Arabidopsis thaliana: one gene and its partners. The protein of the gene in region 2 interacts with the protein of the main gene of each other region in a pairwise test. Each region holds a gene or a part of one and is shown on either strand. Other genes may lie near its edges.

Evidence for each region.
Region 1: the proteins of p24beta2 (region 2) and NRAMP2 interact in a protein complementation assay, tested with the Arabidopsis thaliana proteins (one large-scale study listed by BioGRID).
Region 3: the proteins of p24beta2 (region 2) and AT4G22790 interact in a protein complementation assay, tested with the Arabidopsis thaliana proteins (one large-scale study listed by BioGRID).
Region 4: the proteins of p24beta2 (region 2) and EXO70B2 interact in a protein complementation assay, tested with the Arabidopsis thaliana proteins (one large-scale study listed by BioGRID).

What each region holds. Positions count from the first base shown.
Region 1 is NC_003070.9:17,308,105-17,313,341, forward strand, and holds NRAMP2 (NRAMP metal ion transporter 2), read right to left. Parts: upstream 3,402-5,237; 5' UTR 3,205-3,401; coding exon 2,633-3,204; intron 2,263-2,632; coding exon 2,126-2,262; intron 2,038-2,125; coding exon 1,385-2,037; intron 1,170-1,384; coding exon 939-1,169; 3' UTR 699-938; downstream 1-698. Other genes in the region: CYCA3;4 (CYCLIN A3;4), read left to right, coding at 1-97, 180-314, 400-483. UniProt on the Arabidopsis thaliana protein: Seems to be involved in iron uptake.
Region 2 is NC_003074.8:2,453,354-2,457,730, reverse strand, and holds p24beta2 (emp24/gp25L/p24 family/GOLD family protein), read right to left. Parts: upstream 2,493-4,377; 5' UTR 2,263-2,492; intron 2,105-2,262; coding exon 1,907-2,104; intron 1,669-1,906; coding exon 1,482-1,668; intron 1,406-1,481; coding exon 1,298-1,405; intron 1,213-1,297; coding exon 1,079-1,212; 3' UTR 813-1,078; downstream 1-812. Other genes in the region: AT3G07690 (6-phosphogluconate dehydrogenase family protein), read right to left, coding at 1-499; AT3G07670 (Rubisco methyltransferase family protein), read right to left, coding at 3,114-3,200, 3,301-3,423, 3,515-3,646, 3,733-3,835, 3,939-4,111, 4,294-4,374. UniProt on the Arabidopsis thaliana protein: Involved in vesicular protein trafficking. Mainly functions in the early secretory pathway but also in post-Golgi membranes.
Region 3 is NC_003075.7:11,974,236-11,978,670, reverse strand, and holds AT4G22790 (MATE efflux family protein), read left to right. Parts: upstream 1-1,922; 5' UTR 1,923-2,042; coding exon 2,043-3,518; 3' UTR 3,519-3,640; downstream 3,641-4,435. UniProt on the Arabidopsis thaliana protein: Could function as a HCO(3)(-) -sensing component in the CO(2) signaling pathway in guard cells. Acts as an upstream repressor of HT1. Plays a role in stomatal response to CO(2).
Region 4 is NC_003070.9:2,149,449-2,154,460, forward strand, and holds EXO70B2 (exocyst subunit exo70 family protein B2), read right to left. Parts: upstream 3,094-5,012; 5' UTR 2,858-3,093; coding exon 2,366-2,857; intron 2,258-2,365; coding exon 950-2,257; 3' UTR 710-949; downstream 1-709. Other genes in the region: AT1G06990 (GDSL-like Lipase/Acylhydrolase superfamily protein), read left to right, coding at 371-561; SLP1 (Calcineurin-like metallo-phosphoesterase superfamily protein), read left to right, coding at 3,501-3,684, 3,748-3,860, 3,943-3,975, 4,056-4,157, 4,302-4,514, 4,604-4,739, 4,826-5,001. UniProt on the Arabidopsis thaliana protein: Component of an exocyst subcomplex specifically involved in autophagy-related, Golgi-independent membrane traffic to the vacuole. Regulates autophagosome formation and autophagy-related Golgi-independent import into the vacuole.

The DNA of each region.
Region 1 (5,237 bases), on a different chromosome or scaffold from region 2:
GTTAGATTACACCTGTGTGAAGTATTTGCCATCTCTTTTGTCTGCTTCAGCTGTATTTCTTGCCCGGTTCATCATCCGTCCAAAACAACATCCTTGGGTAAGCAAATTAAGAACCATGACAGGTTCTTATACAGAAAAAGTTCTTTATATTCTAAATCCTCTTCTGGTGATGCAAACAGAATCAAATGCTAGAAGAATACACAAAGTACAAAGCAGCTGATCTACAAGTGTGCGTGGGTATCATACATGACTTGTATCTAAGCAGAAGAGGAAACACTCTAGAAGCTGTTAGAAATAAGTACAAGCAACACAAGGTAAATTCAACAATTCAATGATGTAACTTTAAACTTGTGATATATTGCAACAAGAACATTCTAATATCTGATTCTCTTGGTACAGTACAAGTGCGTTGCGACCATGCCTGTTTCACCGGAGCTACCTCTTGCTTTCTTTGAAGATATTACCATTAGAGGAATGGCGTAAAAGAAGCTTGAAGCTTATGTATTGGAAGTGTTAGTTACCTGAATTTTGGGTTGTATATATCTGTTAGAATGGCAGATTAGTATTGAGTATTATCTCTTTTAGCGTATGTTCAATGATTTTTGCTAACACTAGTTAAGAAACTTTTTTTTTTTTGCTTGACCATTTTTTCAATGGTTTATTAGATTTTTATTGATTTGTTTTCTGCTTTTTTCTATGATGTAAAAGCCTCTTTAAATCATATTGGAATGTGCACATCCTCTTAACAAAAACAAAAAAGTACAACAAAGACTTTGCCACTACATATTTGTGATGTTAACATTCACAAAAAGCTAAGCTAACTCTTATCACCACTTTGGCGTTTCAATATGTATAAGACTATAGTGGATGAAGTTTGTTTACTGTATCTTCTTGACATGTAACAAATGGTCTTGAGGGCAGTTATTTTTGTGCAGCTACTAGCTATTGGAGACGGACACTCTTTTGGGAAGTTCTATGGAAGAGGATGACCAAGGAGAAGGAAAAAAGTTGCTGTGTGAAATGAGGTACACTATAAAGGCGATATAAGCAGTCGTCCAGACGCAGACCGTAACTCCAAACAGAAACCCGTCGACTTCTGATACAAAGAAATCCAACAGAAGATACCCATTGATGATCATTACAAGTGCAGCCACAGTCCAAGCTATTCTCTGCAATGTAATCAATAAATCCAATCAACTTACAAATACTCACTCTTCATGCTTCTCTATTCCATTGAAGGACTTTCAATTCTACATGTTTACTAAGATAATTGCACAAACAGTGAAACTAAAAAAGTCGAGACACCTAAAACGATAAGACTCAACACTAATTCACCTATTGTGGTATCCTATGGAGACTTGTAGTAAAAGAAGTGGAAATTTACCTGGAGAATAGGCCCAATCTTGAAGTCTCCCATAATTTCTTCTTTGGATACCAAGGTTAGAAGAGGGAGAAGAGCAAAAGGAATTTGTACAGACTGAAGGACATTGAGCCATTCATTCAAAACATCCAAGGAAGCTTCAGAAGTATTGAACACGATTGCCACAATCATTGTAGGCACAATAGCACAGCTTCTTGTTATTACTGCCCTCATCCATTTCTTAAGCCGGAGATTCAGAAAACCGCCCATTATAAACTGTCCAGCATATGTACCAGTTATCGTACTGCTTTGTCCGGCTGCTAACAACCCGATACCCCAGATATAAAGAATCGGAAGAAGCCCGCCTCCAAACTTTTCTTGAAGATACTGACCAGCATTAACTAGGCCAATGTTATTAGCTTTCTCAGTTCCATAAAACCCCTTTGCAAAGACAGTAGTCACAAACAAGTTAATCATGAAGGAGATGAAAAGTGCGACGGATGACTCGATCAAATAGTAATTAAGCGCTTCTTGAACCCGGGATTTCCTCTTCGGATCGATTTTCCTCGATTGTACAAGAGCCGAATGCAAAAACACATTGTGAGGCATTATAACACAGCCAACAACACCTACAGCTTGCCTAATTGTCTTTGAGCTAAGTCTCGGTAGTAAAATACCTATCCATAAACACAAAGATTTGATTTTTAAGCACTCAAATCAAAGCAAATAAAGTGAAATTCAAGAGTAAAAATCTGAAATCTTTACCTATCATAAGTTCTTTCCCACTCGGTTTTGTTTCACCAAACATCCAAGCAAAGGACAAACCCATAGTTGCGATCAAAACTGCAAAAACAGCTTCTAACTTCCTCACACCGTAATTCTCTAGAAACAAAAATAAAAAACTGTTTGCAACAAATTCATTAGCCAAGTTTTCAAAATACAAAAAAGCAAGTTTCTTAATTTCAGATTCGATCACAAATCGTTAAACCAATTCTCTACTGATTTGTGAGTTTGGATCATCTTAGCAAAGTTTTACAAGAAAACAGCCAAAGTAAAAGCAAATTCTCAACTTCAGATTGAATCATGAATCTCTAAACCAAGTTTCTACTGATTTGTGAGTTCGAATGATCCATACTCAAACTCAATACCGCTAAGATGATCCGCAAAGTTTTAAAATTTCAGAATGAATCATAAGATTCTCCAAACCAAGTCTCTACTAATTCTACGAATCCAACATCTCTAAAGAACGAATAGAGTATCGAAAGGACTCACCAATCGGAAGCAGTAATAACAACACCAGCCCAAAGAGGCAAGAAGCCACGGCTAAGAATCTGAATAGCAATAGCACTACCAATAACCTCTTGAATATCAGCACCAATCAAAGCAAGTTCCGCCATAGACCAAAGCACATACCTAGCCCAAGTAGGATACTCATCACGACAAAGCTCAGCTAAATGACGACCAGTAGCTACACCGACTCTAGCTGACAACATCTGAATCAACAACCCCATAGCTGTTGCCCACATTAGTAGCCACAACAGAGAATAGCCAGCGATTGCACCAGCTTGTAGATCTCCTTCTAGATTCCCTGGATCCAAAAACGCTATACTCATTAAGAAACCTGGACCGGTGAATAACCAGAGCTTCCGCCATGAGAATGGCGGTGGTGTGTCTCCGGTTGTTGGATCGTCGGGTGATTCGAAATCGACGATTAGGATCTTTTCGTTTGTTTCGAAAGCCGCTTCGGATTCGGAATCGGTGGATGGGAGAGATTGTGAAGGAGGAGGAGGAGGAAGAAGACGGTCTTCCTCTTCTTCGAGATTCTCTTTGACGTCGTTTTCCATGGAGGAAGAGGGAATATTCGGTGAGGGTTAAATCGGAATATTCTGTCGGTGGTGGTGGTGGTGTCGTCGACGTACCTGAATTTTGAATTGGAGGGATAAAAGAAGAAGAAGACGCAGGCACTTAATCAGATGCTTTTTAAAAAAGAGATTAATGCGTTTCTTTTTCGTAACTTTTTGGTACCAGATTCAACTTTATTATATTAATGCCTAAAAAAGAAGAAAAACTTTATGTTATAAATTTGCTTTGAAATTATGTATTTAGTGTAGTGTTGCCATAGTTGTATTGTCACAAATTTGAATAAAGCTTTGCTTTTTAATGACGTTAATTGAATACAAGGTAGTGAATAAAGTGTGTGTTTTATACATTTTTAGATCCATTGCTTGATCTATCTCTTCCTCTCTTTTATAGATCACAATGTGTGAAACTAAATATCCCACACCAAAAGTTTATTGAGTTTCCAATATAAGATTCATGATTAGTTTTTTAGAGCTTCATGAATAGCATAGTTGATATGATTGTATTACTCACATTCCAAAAATTTATGAGCAGAAACTCAACCATTGATAAAATGTTTTTTTTTTTTTGATGCGATGCAAATTATGAAAATTTAACCTCCTCATCCGAAAGTCTTTTAACTAGAACTCAGTTTTAATCTCATCAGAAATTACTGGTTTACATTCAATAAGCTTACTAAATTTTTTTGCTGAATTTTCCAAAGTGAACAAATCATGAGGATTTTTAGTTAAGTGAATATTTAGTGACTATTTTTCTTTTTTTCTTTTTTTTTTGTATCATGAGGATATTTAGTGACTAGTATTTTTGTCAATCCCTTCATGTGTGTTTTCATCACTCATTATTTAAATCATAAAAACATGTTATTCGTTTTTTTTGTGTGTTTCAACTTTCAAGCATGAACATAATTAGTATTTCTACTGTACCTTCTTTTACCATATTTCAATGAGTATCTACATAAAATAGCCATGGATTCAAAAAAAATTAAGAGAATAGCCATGAGCTACAGGGGTAAGTCGGAAACACATGTAATTTTACATGTATAACCTTAGACATCAAAGCGACAAGACACTGTTTGGGGAGCGTATGATTCTGGGTTTGAAATTTGAATTCTATTGCATTATTCGGCCCAAGTTTGTCTCACGACCAAAGTAATAACCCTAAAATTAAAAAAAAAAAAAAAAAAAAAAATTTTTCTCACCGAAAAAACCTCTCTCGGCGGCGATTAATTTCATCGTCGTTGCTCTCATCTTTTCGATCCAAGTAGTAGTTGTTTCTAGAAATTGATTGTGTTTCCGATTATCCTTTTCAAATCGTCTTCTCGTTGCAGTCGCCGGTGACAATCGAAGGATTAATTTTTGGTCTTCCCTCGCCGACGATTTGGGTAAGTAGAACCACTGATTTCCGATTATTTACAGTTGCTCTTCTTATTTCTCTTCCCCTATACCTTTAATTGCATGTCAATCATCGCTTGTGTCTAGATCTAAAGTTCGGTTCGTTGTTAACTAACCCTAATTTTGTTTCGTGTACTGTTGATGAATGAAAGTTAGGCGACCATCGAGAGTTTGCGGCTAAAGTCTCTGTTTTTTTTTTGGGAATCCTTCTGTGCTTTTTTGGAAAACACATGAGGTTTGTAAATATTGATGTGCTTTGTTTGAATAACCCACGAGGTTTGTAGATATTGCGTCCTTTATCTGTGTTTCTTACATGCAACTAACCCATTTTTTGTCTCTTACTATTCACGAAAGAAGATTAGGCGATATCGGAGGCTTTTGTGGCTGACGCTGTGGGTTTTGTTTGAAAAACACTTGAGGTTTGTAAATATTGTCTTTTGATCTGTTCTCTTTTATACTATACTAACCCAAATTTTGAACGTCTTACGTTCCATGACTGCAGATTCGGCGATATCGAGGATTTTGAACGTCTTACGTTCCATTCATTTTCGTTTATTTATCGCCGATCTTCTTCTATTTCTTCCCCTTTATACTTCAATTGCATAGAAAATAACGATTGTGGCCAG
Region 2 (4,377 bases):
CCTGAAACGTCTCAGTTGATGGTAAACCATTGATGACAATATCAGCATCCCAAACAGCTTCTTGAAGATTAGTCACAACTTTCAAAGGACACAAAGGAGTCTCAATCATATTCAAGCAAAACCCATCTTTCAATATCTCATCAGCATATAAAACCCTATCCCCTAATCTAGCTTCCACATACTTGAGATAAGCACACCTTCTTATCAACCTCCTCAACAATTCTTCCCTCGAATTAATCACTTCGAACAAATGTTCAGCTGTGGCTTTATCGATTGCTCTGCCTCCTCTTCTCCAGATTCTCACACTAACTTTGCCCCTAAACTTACCGTAATTTTCCTGCAACATTGCAATGAAAACGCTTCCCCAAGCACCAGCTCCTACACCAACGATCCTTAACGGGTCGTCATCAGCTTTACCCATTACTCTACGAATCTCATCAAGCCTTTCTTCCACCAATCTGCTCGGAACTGAATTCGTCTCCACCAAATGATCCATCATCAACAAAGCCTTATGATTTCTCTTTCAGTGACTCAATCCACTAAAAACACAAGCAAGCTATGGAACAAAATCGGACTTCTTGTCGGATTTATCAATGCTTAAAACTGGAGACGACTTTTTCAGGAAAGTTTGTGTTTTTATTTTATTTTCAGGTAACTTGTACGACGACTAAGAAAATGATAGCTGGCTTTATCTATCTACTCTGGGCCCAACTAACTTAGTCTAGTGTCCACTTTTATAACCTTCTCTATAAGAGTTCGAATCCAGTTAAGGGATTTTGAGTACTTTTGACACGTCTTATTCAAAGCTTGATCACATTGTTATTCTCTTTGTTTTAGGGAAAAAAGGTTTTAAGGAATCACTATTTTCTCTATTGAAATGAAAACCTAGCTTGTGGAAAAGTTGTCTGTTAATAAAGAGAAAAAAAAGAATTATCATCACGAGAGGATTAGTTCTTGAACATGGGAGAAAGCAAATCTTCCAATGAACTACGATCTGTCTGTAAAAAGGTTTTAAGTAAAGATTCCCTGGTACATTTTAAGGCAAAATAAGTTCAAAGTCATAATAAACTCGATACTTTTAGACACGAGACATGCCGAGTTTGCGTTCAAACAAGCGACGCAGAAGATAAACTTGGAGAAAACTTGCCCCAATCAGTGCAAACGACTCGAACAAAGCTTTGTGTACTGCTCTTTTGCTCATGTTCTCGTTCACTGCACAAGGAACAACCATATTCAAACCATCACTCAATATTGAAGTGAGAACAACAAATGTGGTTTTTAGAGGAAAAAATGTTACCGATAGCTTGACGATCGGTCTGAGCTTCTAACCAATGTTGTTCAAATTGGATGTTGTAAAGAGCCTCCTCTAACTTTGATATTTGCTCCATCAAGGGAGTGAAATGCTCTGCACAAAAACCATCTTCAGCTAAATACCTCATCACCAAACGAAACTGAAACAAAACTAAACAGATAATCCTTACCGTCCTTTGCGTGTTGATCGTAGTATGCAAAGTGACCAAGCTGTACATCGAAGTCAATGGTTTCATGATAAGGAGACTTGTTTGTGAAACAGAATCTGTAAACCCCTTTTTTTTGGACAACAAAATCATGCTTTGCGCTTATCTGCTCCCTGAAGTCATGAATTTGTTCGCCTGTTGGGCCATGTATCTATTCAAAATGCATCCAAAATATATCAACAACAACAACAACCACCAAATTAACCAGATGGTACAATATAACAGCTTTAAAGAGTAACCAAATTCTTTATCAATACATACTTCAAATTATCTACCAACATTAACAATGGAAATCCTAAGCATTGTTTAGGAATACCAATTCTATTGATTTTCGACGATTTTGCAATGTAGAATGTAGAAAAGTTCAATTAGAAGAAAAAAAGTCATACCACAAGATCTACACCATCCTCGTTAAAATGCCATTGAGAGTCAGACTTGATGACGACGAAAGAGACATGAAGCGTATCACCTTCATATTCAGCCTTGTGGGAGAAACATTCTTCACGGTCTATCACGAATCTAATCCCTAACGTAGCCTGGAAGCTCCATAAGAGCCCTAGTAATACGATCGTACCCTTCAAGCTCATCTGCCACAATAATTTCGAATTATATCAAAGCACAAAACGCAATTCAATCGTTTAGAAGAAGAATCGACTAGAGATTCCAAACCAAACCAAATTGAATTGTTCCAATTTCGATTCCTACGAGGTGATTAGGTTTGACACAGAGAGTGAGAGGGATTTACCTTCTTGAGAAGATCAAATCTGATGATTGATTGATTAGATCGATGGAAACTCGATCTGGTCGATGAGTGTTAAGAAAATTTGAAGATTGATCGGAGTAGAAGACGGTGGAGAGAATTGGATGAGAAAGAGCGAGCTCGTTCAGAATCGGACACGAAGAAGCCTGTTTTGACTCAAGGGGCAGTTTCGTTACCCGACAAGATCATCAAACTATAAACGACGTCGCTTGCTTACTCTTTGGGTTATTTGGTCAGCGGGCTTACGTGGCGTTATATCATTGGAGATAAAACATCTTTAAACCATTTAGATATTGCCACGTCATATTATGTCGAAAATGGAAACTCCATAAAATCAGTACGTTTCATTAGGAAGACTTTATAGGTTTCTCGTTTTTTACTTTGCCACAGTGGAATGTTTACTTGCTTTGCTAAAGAAACAAATGTTCTGACGTGTACCATCAGATTATCTTGTTTGCGGTAACAAGGAGTGTGAGTTTTGGTACGGTTTTCGTTATGAGTTGTAGTCAGATATATTCTTAATTTTCAAATTATCTTTGTTTGTTGGATCGATTATTTCAGTTCGATTCGGATCAAATACGAAGAACATGTTTCTACCCTTACTCTCTCATGCGTTTCCTTAATTAATCAATTTAGGTTCAGGTTTTGAGTTTATAGAAAATGATCAAATTACATATATGGCTGGACCAATATATTCCTATACGAGTGAGACAGATCCAACCATGCCTACACCAACGTTCAATTTTTTTGTAATAAAAAACTACATTTTTGGTTGAAGCACAACGAGGCCTACCTTTGATCCATCTTAAAGCTGTTGAAATGTCCTCATTCAACATTCACTTGAAGAAGTTCCTAAGTCCACTGAAGAGCCGTAGAGCCTTCAGCTCACCACTTCTGATATCTCTCAGTCTCCTCCTCAGAATCTGACCCAAACAAAACAAAAAAAAAAACACAGATTCCACAATATCATGGATCGATCCACAGACTCTTATCTATCGTATTGGCTAGAAAGTTGTTCCTTACGTATTGAGCACGGTACAGTATCCTGCGCTCACTAGTGGACAAGTCTACAGCTAGCTGTTTCAGAAACGCTTTTCGGTTCAACTGTTTTGGAGATGTTATGTCCAAATCCATTGATCCACTTTCCTACAATTAGATAATTGACAAAGCAAACTATAAGCAGATGGAGTGAAAATTTTCCCACAAAGAGAGAGAGATGAGCTGTTTTGTTACTTACCTTTAGAAATCGGCTGTACTTTGATATGCTTGTTTCGCATGAGTCCAGTATGAACTGCAATGCGTCTTCCTCGATTTCAGGATATTTTAGATCATTCTTTGTTGATGTCTTATTTGAAGCAGCTTTCGCCATCTGAAATGGATAATAATTGATAAGAGATGTATTATGAATTTGGGAAGAATTGGATGGTAAAAAGGGTCAAGATGGAGTTGCCAAACCTCTTCAAAGTTGTTTCTCATATCTGGAGGGCTCACCACAAGATAAGCATATGCCATTAGCTCCATTGGCCAACCCGTTATCCTTACGGGAAAGCATTGAGGTCTGCCAGAGAAAAGTTAACACAAACAATCAAAACAAAACTCAAGTTAATCAAGAGAGATCTACAAATTTGAGAGGGGAACATGGATGGTGGAGAATGGAATACGTCGATAATCCGTGTTTCTTTAAAGCATCCAGCTTTTCCTCGTAACACTTATCGTTTTTCCTAAGTGATAATGCTAGTTCTACTGAATCACTAGGATTGGTTCCTTCTCTGGGAACAAACCCATAAGATAACAATAGCTCTCCGTTAGATTTATTCCCATAGGATATGAAAACCTGCACAATGTCATGTTACTGAAACATATCAGAGACTTCAGACAACATTGGTTCCACTTTGGACTGACTTACTGAAGCGCTAAAAGGCAAACTGTGTAAACGGGACTTCTTTGTGTTATACACTGACTTATATTAAACTTCAATGCTCGCTCAGGTTATCTGAATGAATTTATCTTATTTACCTGCTCACCTGGTTGATATGGTCGATCTGTTGTAAAGACAACTCCTTTTGAAGATTTATCATAATCCAGGAACGTCTCAACCTT
Region 3 (4,435 bases), on a different chromosome or scaffold from region 2:
TCTTAATCTGTAATGGACCGGGATAGAAATGGGCCATGTATTTGGACCCGAATAAGTTTCTCAAAATATTGAATTAACTAGTTAAAGACTTACGGTATGGGCTATATATAAAGTATAAACGAATAATAAACTTTTCCGATCCGAAATCATACTTATTTCTTATCATCCTTCTGAATAAATGTTTCAGTAAAGTTGCAACTGATTATATGTAAAGAACAAAATGATTCGACGTAAGAATATATGTTGAATGCTAAATTCCTAATACCATATTCCATTTCACATTCTTTTCATTCTTTAATGTAGTCTCATTAACTATTTCAAGAATATGATCATTTCTGTTAAATAAAAAATTATAGCTAAAGTGATTCGCATAAAAAGGGAAGTAGCACTTTACAAGGTAAAATTAGCCGTATGGGTCGAATATGGTTCGGGTATAGGATGGAGTACCAAATTATTCATTTGAGTAATATTTAATTATCCAACTTATTCGAATCTTCAATCTTGTAGGTGATACTAAGTCGAATTGATGAGAAGTTAGATAGTGAATTAGATGTTCGGACCGACCCATTATCCGAATTTTTTCTTATCTCATATTTTATTGGATTATCGATTCCAATTCTCAAAGTGGACAAACCTAAATTTTGTTATCTGCTTTTTTCTTCTTAAGGTTCTGTCCAACTACCACTTTTTATCCCTAATTCCGGAATAGTGAAAATCCCCAAATCTTTATCATCTCATGAAAATTTACCAATCGTGCCTTTTATTTTTGTTCTGGGGTCCTCTTCCTTTTTAAGAAGCAACAAAAATAAAAGTTGAAATATCTCCAATCATCCTATAAAAAGTTGGTATTTTATATTCATAATATTTTCATTAGAAAATGATGCATTATGCAATTATTTGTTGCTTTTTGGAAAGAAAAATAGAAAGCCAAGGTCACGTATCTTTTTCAAACACATTTTTTCTTTTGTCTATGCTATTTGTGTGTTCAACTATCTCTTAGTTTTTTAGGATACTTAATTCTAATTTTATTATATTCTATTTCTGTCAGTATTAGCTAGTGAGAAGAAAATTCTGATTATATTATGATTTACCAACTGCCTATTTACTATTATAAGCAAGCTTTGTTTTCCACCATTGTTTTATTTTTCTTACAGAAAGACTATATAACTTCGTTTACAAAAAAATTACTTAAGTGAAATCCTAAATATGATGAGGGTGGAAGTTATTTATGTTAAATGCAATAACACACTTCCCCTTTAGACAAAAGGAAAAAAAGAAGAAGAGATTAAGGTCCCATTGAGGTGTTTGAAAACCCTTTAGACTTGTTATCGAAAAATGGCAACCACACACAAATTTGGTATATTGAATGATGTCAAACTTTTCTTGCATGAAAGTTTATCGTTTGCTTTCCCCTATTTCGCTCCTCAACCAAATATCCGATGTTTTACACGAAAGCTTATGTGCATACTCTGGTTCTCTGTAACGAAAGTCCATTTTATATTTAAATAGTTTTTTACAAGCATTTTTTTCCAATGTTAAATTTTGTAATATCAACTTTTTTTAATTTAATATTAGCTTAGTTTCAGAAAAAAAAATATGTAAGAATTTTAGCCAAAAAAGATAAGAAAATAATATTAATGTAAAAATATATATTCGTTAATTGCACATTTTCAAAAATAAAATAAAATTACTGTATTAAAAGTGGGAAATGGGAATGATATGGATTCATCATCACTAATGCACTTAAGGGTATAGAAACCCACCAACTTGTTAATCCTCTGCTTTTATTGGCCGTTACAAAAGCTTCCTCGAGAAAATTGATTCAACATTTATATTATTTAGCTCATCACTCTCTCACGGAACTCATGCTTTTAATCTACCTACTTATAAAATCCTCCACGCAAACAACAAAACCATTTTCCACTTACAATTTTTTTTGTCATCTTTATCAACAAACAAACAACTATCTCTGCAAATTTGGCTGAAACCTCTTAAAAGTTCTTTGCTCTGTTCCAAATTATCCATATTTTCTACTAACAATAATGTCAGAAACATCAAAGTCAGAGTCTTTAGATCCAGAAGTCTCTGAAGGGCTTTGTTCAAAGACCTTGATGCAGAGCATTGTTCATGAGCTGAAGCTGCAGATGAGAATTGGTTTGCCATTGGTGGTTATGAATTTGTTGTGGTTCGGTAAGATGACCACCACATCTGTGTTTCTTGGCCGTCAAGGTGAGCTTAACCTAGCCGGAGGTTCATTAGGGTTTTCCTTTGCAAACGTTACTGGCTTTTCTGTTTTGTATGGTATTTCTGCTGCAATGGAGCCTATTTGTGGCCAAGCTTTCGGAGCCAAGAACTTTAAGCTTCTTCATAAAACCCTTTTTATGGCAGTGCTCTTGCTACTCTTGATTTCGGTACCAATTTCTTTCTTGTGGCTCAATGTTCACAAGATCCTTACTGGTTTTGGTCAAAGAGAAGATATTTCCTTCATAGCCAAGAAATATCTTCTCTACCTTCTTCCAGAGTTGCCAATCCTCTCTTTTCTTTGTCCACTTAAGGCTTATTTAAGCTCACAAGGTGTTACTCTTCCCATCATGTTCACAACAGCTGCAGCCACTTCTCTTCATATCCCCATCAACATAGTCCTCTCTAAAGCAAGAGGAATTGAAGGAGTTGCAATGGCGGTTTGGATAACTGATTTTATTGTTGTGATTCTTCTAACTGGATATGTGATAGTCGTAGAGCGAATGAAAGAGAACAAATGGAAACAAGGTGGCTGGTTAAACCAAAGTGCTCAAGACTGGCTCACACTGATCAAGCTTAGTGGACCATGTTGTCTCACCGTGTGCCTTGAATGGTGGTGCTACGAGATCTTGGTCCTTTTAACCGGGAGGTTACCAAACCCGGTGCAAGCTGTATCAATCTTGATTATAGTTTTCAACTTCGACTACTTGCTTTACGCGGTGATGCTCTCTTTAGGCACGTGTGTGGCAACAAGAGTGTCCAATGAGCTCGGCGCAAATAATCCTAAGGGAGCTTATAGAGCAGCTTACACTACACTCATTGTGGGTATTATTTCAGGCTGCATTGGAGCATTAGTGATGATAGCATTTAGAGGTTTTTGGGGGTCTTTGTATACTCACCATGACCAACTCATCTTAAACGGTGTGAAGAAGATGATGCTGATAATGGCGGTTATCGAAGTTGTAAACTTCCCATTAATGGTTTGTGGAGAGATAGTCCGCGGAACAGCGAAACCGTCTCTTGGAATGTATGCAAATCTTAGTGGATTCTATCTATTGGCTTTGCCTTTAGGGGCAACTTTGGCGTTCAAGGCTAAACAAGGGCTTCAAGGGTTCTTGATCGGGTTATTTGTTGGTATATCTCTCTGTCTCTCGATATTGCTCATCTTTATTGCGAGGATAGATTGGGAGAAAGAAGCTGGGAAAGCACAGATTCTGACATGTAACACAGAGGACGAACAAACTTCACAAGGTTCAGGACAAGATAGCCACTCATAGAAAGTACTCACTGAGGTATCTTCTAGCTAGAGATGTAGTCAAATTTACCTTGTGAGAGTATTTATCTTCTTGATGTAACTGTAACTATGAATTGAGGATCCAAACTTTGTATTATTGTGTATAAAAGAAAACGCCCACCATGTAACTCGAACCAATGACCACAAGTCCACAAAGTTAAGAGCCTTGCGCTCTACCAACTGAGCTAGACGATGTCGTTGCGTAGGTAATTGAGATTTGAAGAGGCCCATTATTTTACATGTGTAAGTTACACAAAACCTTACCGGGCCTTAACGAATTAACTTTTGATATTTGAAATTATTGGCAAAGTATTTCAAAAAATGTTTTAGTTGATTGTTCTATATACCAAACGAAAATAAATATCTTAACCAATACAGCAAAATTATTGGAGTACAACCATTTTGTTCTTGGTGTTTTGGTAGACAAAGAACCTAAAAACATTGATTGTGTCTTGTGAGTGCCATGTGAATCGGAAACACATATCCGAGGAGAAGTGTGGGGCACTCAAATCTCCACTTAGGGTTAAAGCTTGACATTAATTAAGGTTGATTTGTATTTAATTTTCTTTGATAAATTTTGTGTTTTTTTTTTTCCGGGAATTTAATTGGTGAAATTACTTAGTCTTAAACGTACGACCACGTTTATCGTTTTTTAGATACGCACTCGGTTTGGAATTATTTTATGTTTTGTCAACGTTTATTAATTATTTATAGCGTTGAGTTTTTTTGTTAAGACTGTCATGCACTATTATTATGCGATATGTCAAAAGCCGGTTTTTGAATTAGACTCTTTCTTGTGATGAACATTCGTCGCATATATTATCAATCGGATAATTAGCTTTCTTTGGAGGCCGATTCTCTTAATTCTGATTGTTTCAAGTTTCATGGTTAAGTTGATCA
Region 4 (5,012 bases), on a different chromosome or scaffold from region 2:
TTTCGCACTAAATCTAGTTTTCCTTGAGTTTTGATCAATTGCATCTCTTTCTAGATTATATTGTATTTGGAAAAAATATATTTGAGGTTGTTATATTGGATCATTTAAAAAAGATATTGCATAAATGCAAAATAAGAAAAAAGAAATCAATCAAACCCAAAGCATAATCCAATTTTCTCCGCACAATTCTCTCATATTAGTATATATCACATACGTGTGAAGTGCATGTATTTTACAGGATTTTTACTGATAATTTTTTTTACAGGTTTTGAAATTATAGTTTGTTATAAGAGAACATTCAAGACTATAAAATATTTCATTTTATTACAAAGCTAAGTAGTTATCAATGTTATTCCTTTGAATGGGACAGGGTTAAAGGAGACGACGAGAGGATGTTGCGGGACTGGAGAAATAGAGTTAGCGTACTTGTGCAATGCTTTAACTCGGATTTGTCCTAACCCTAACCAGTACCTTTTCTGGGACGATATTCATCCTTCCCAAATTGCTTACATAGTCATCAGTCTCAGTCTTGTTGAACAAATTTTCCACGTACTCTCTTGATTTTCATTTTGCTTTCATATATATTAATTAATCTGTAGTCAATCTATAATTATTTCCCTGTGGGTTCACATAATCTTTCGTATTTGCTTAAGCTAGGTTTTACATGTATACTATTATGATATTATACTACTCTATCCTGGTAAGTTGTAACTCTATAGCACAATGCTCGTAAGTCCGTTTTGAAACCCAAACGAATTATATTTTAACCTTAAGGAAATTTCTTACATCAAAAAAGCAATACATGAACAAATCAATGTCGAAAAGGTGATTCCACCGATCCATGAACATTATTCACCCAAGAAAGATAAAAAAACACAGAATGATTCACAATTTTACAAAAAAATTCAATTAATAAGAATTTTTTAATTTCTTTTCATATCTAATTTAATCAACTTGAGCTTTCCTTGAACAACCGTTTGATTATAAACTCCACATCTTCAACAGTATACGGAATAAACGGCTCTCCACGCCTCCCATTAATCTCCGGTGACTCCTTCAATCTTCTGATGAAATTCGAGTACGCCGGAGATACAATTCCGGCAACAGAGCTTCTTAACTCCTCCCTCAATTGCCCATCACTAACAACCCATTGAGATTGCACCTTACACACCTCATCGAACTGTGATTTGAACAATCTTAGGTTCTCTACTAACTTGGGATACGGACCATCGGTCCTAAGCAATCCCACCACTTGGTTCCATGAGCTCCTTCGGTAATTAGAATGGTATTGCCTCAGTTTCGCTGCGTGCTTCACAATCCAATCTTCTCCTAGGACTAAACCTAGCTCGTTATCCTTAGCCTTATCAAGAATATACTTGTCATTGTTCATCATGAACAAGAAACACAAAGACGGATCACGATAAGTTCTTTTCTTGCCTTCCAAGTTACTCTCCAACAACTCCAAAACCCATATGATTTGCACAGACAACGGTCTCGTATCTGATCCGGTTTCATTTCCTGTCTGGTCAAGTATCTGCTCCAACGATTGCCGCGATTTACACGCCGCACGCAGATAATTCATCACGTACCGCGTGATCGGGTGAATCCCACCGCCAGGAAACGCTGTTTTGGGAGGGTCACGTCGGATTAAATTCTCCAGCTCCATAAATATCCCTCTAATCGCTTCTCCTAACCGTTTATGAATCGCGAGCGCCTCATGCCTTAGCGGCGAACAATATCGATCAGAAAATAGCGTTTCCATCTTAGGAATAAGGTCTTGCATCGCTTCGTATAAATCCACAACCTTAAACAAACGTTCAGGTAAACGGCTTCCTAAAGCGATCGCGTCTGCGAAATTCAGAAGCTGTGTTGTGGTTCCGCGACAAACTTCCATGAAAGAAAGATCGGTTACAGAGGAAACAGGAAGATCAGAGAAAACGCGATCGCAGAGAAGACGCTCGCTCGGGAAGAAAACGTGGAATATCAGCGTTACGGCTTTAATCCAACGGTCGATTTCGTCTTCAAGATCTTGCCATGGACTCTCTTGCACTTCCTCCATACTTAGTCCTCTGAGATGTAACCTCGACAAACTCTCCTCTAGAAACTCTCTTCGTCGACTGCTGTACACTCTTGAACACTCTTTTGCAAATCCACCAGCGACCATGCGCACAGCGATCGCGTTTAGATCGCCAATAACGCTAGATTGTAACGCCTCGATCACGATTTTGTAATCAGTGATTGGACGAGCAACGATTACCTATTCAATTGTGAATCACTTAACCACAATATAACCGATAGTAAACCGAATTTTCTAATTCTAATTCCAAAACTAATTTAGTAATAAATTTACAGATGAATTAATTACCCCGTCGCTTGTGTCGTTGTCTTCTTCGCCGGGGAACTCATCGTCCGAGTCAAACGAGTCAGGGGCTCGGTCCATTACAAATCCAAACTCTTCTTGAAGCCTAAACATCACCTGTTGAATCAGCTCATCGGCACGGGATTGACAGACGGCGACGGATTTATCTCCGGCCATGGATCTCAAGTCTCCGGCAATCGCAAGTAGCTCATCAACAGAGTCGAGGAAGGTGCGCGAGTCAACGGGATCAGACCAGATCGGTCGATCTTCCACGATGTAGCTGGAGATCTGTCTCTCTAAAGAGGTGAGGGCTCGGTCAAAGTTGACGTTTGAGCCGCCGCGGGATGGGGTGGGTCGAGGATCTCCGCCGCGGTTTCCGGAAGCGCCATAACCGGAGAGAATCTGTAAGATATCTCCGGCGGCACTTGGATCCTTGCCGAGAGCTCTGGCGATGTCTCTGGCGGCGGCGTAAAGATTCTCGTCACCGGCTTCAGCCATATGATTGGATGGGAATTAATAATGTTCGGGGAAATTACGGAATTGGTGGAATTGGGAGAATAAAGACGAAAATCCATAGACGAAGACTATAATATTGACAAAGTCTTCGGAGATTAAACGCGGGAACCATGTCTGACTTAGTTGTGTGCTTCTGTTTGTATTTTAATGGAATCTGTAATTTCTTAGTGCCACGACCACGACTTTGTCTTCGTTTCGATTTTTCTCTTTTGGTTCTGTCTGGTTTGATGTTTACAGAACGTGAACGCAATTTAACAACCGCGTTGTGCGTTTGGTCATCATGGAAATTGGTTATGGGCCGATGACTTCGTTACGTTGAATTTTCGGCGTCCAGTACACTTGGGCTTTAGATGGCCCAATGGACATATTATTCATTTTTGGGATCGATAAGTTTGATAAGGTTGAGAGGCCCAATTTTTGTCTTTGTGGTTATCTTTTATTTTATTAAAAACAGAAAAACCAAAAATTGAGAGGAAAAACCTCAGCCAGTAGATAGATAAAAGGGATTTGATTACTGAGCATGCAATTGGAGACAAGTCACACAAATTATAGACCAGACGAACACAAATGTTAAGTGATTTCATCAAAGCTCTGGTGGATCATTGCTTCTCCACCACCAATACCAATGGCTTCCCTTTACCTCAATTCCTTACTTCCACTTCCTCCTTCTCACCCCCAGAAACTTTTAGAACCTTCTTCTTCCTCTTTGTTGAGCACTTCTAATGGTAACGAACTTGCTCTGAAGCCGATTGTCATCAATGGAGATCCACCCACTTTCGTCTCTGCTCCTGCTCGTCGTATCGTTGCAGGTTCGCCACCATTAATCTGAAAAGTTTCAATCTTTTTGATAATTTGACAACAAAATTGAGTAGGTTTTGGTTTTGGATATGCACTCACAGTTGGAGACCTTCATGGCGATCTGGGTAAAGCCAGAGACGCACTTCAGTTGGCTGGCGTCTTGAGCTCCGACGGACGAGACCAGTGGGTCGGCCAAGACACCGTATGTACATTATCTCTTAGTGGTTCAGTATCGTGTTAAATGGTTTGCTTGATGATATTATTGACAGTATCTGCTAGAGTTCAACATTACGCATCTTGAGGTTCATTATGATGACTGATTCTTTTGAGTTAAATGCTTATGAGTTGTGAAATCATAATGAAAATACAGGTACTAGTTCAGGTAGGAGATATACTTGATCGCGGTGATGATGAAATCGCAATACTCTCCTTATTGAGGTCACTTGATGATCAGGCCAAGGCTAATGGTGGAGCTGTTTTCCAGGTTTTTGATTGCTATCATACTTGAATTTCATAAGTAAATTTTACACAGAGAAGCTTTTGCACTCTACACATTTTAATTTGCTAGTTCTAGAATGATGATAATTGATAGGACTAACAAAGAGTAACTTCTTGTCACATTTTAAAGGTTAATGGGAACCACGAGACAATGAATGTTGAAGGGGATTTCAGATATGTAGATGCGAGAGCATTTGATGAGTGTACTGATTTTCTTGACTACTTGGAGGACTATGCACAAGACTGGGACAAAGCGTTTAGGAATTGGATTTTTGAGTCAAGACAATGGAAAGAAGATAGGAGGAGTTCTCAAACCTATTGGGATCAATGGAATGTAGTAAAGGTACTTCATTTTGCCTTGTCCTCTCTGAGTTTTCTTAGTTTTTGTATTCGTTGGTTAACCAAAAGTCGGTGGGAAAACCATTAGGACAGAGGCAAAAGGGAGTAATTGCAAGGTCGGTCCTTCTCAGACCAGGTGGTCGTTTAGCATGTGAATTGTCGCGTCACGGAGTTATTCTCCGTGTTAATAACTGGCTCTTCTGCCACGGTGGTCTCCTTCCTCACCATGGTAAGGACAGTCAAATCTATCTCAACATTTCCTCTCGGTGATCTTTTGGATTTGATATATCATATGCTTATAATGTCCTTGCACAGTTGCATACGGCATAGAGAGGATAAACAGAGAAGTCTCTACTTGGATGAGAAGCCCTACTAACTATGAAGACAGTCCTCAGATGCCGTTCATTGCGACTCGAGGATATGACAGTGTAGTCTGGAGCCGACTTTACTCAAGAGAGACTTCTGAGCTTGAGGACTATCAAATTGAACAGGCAAGTAGAAT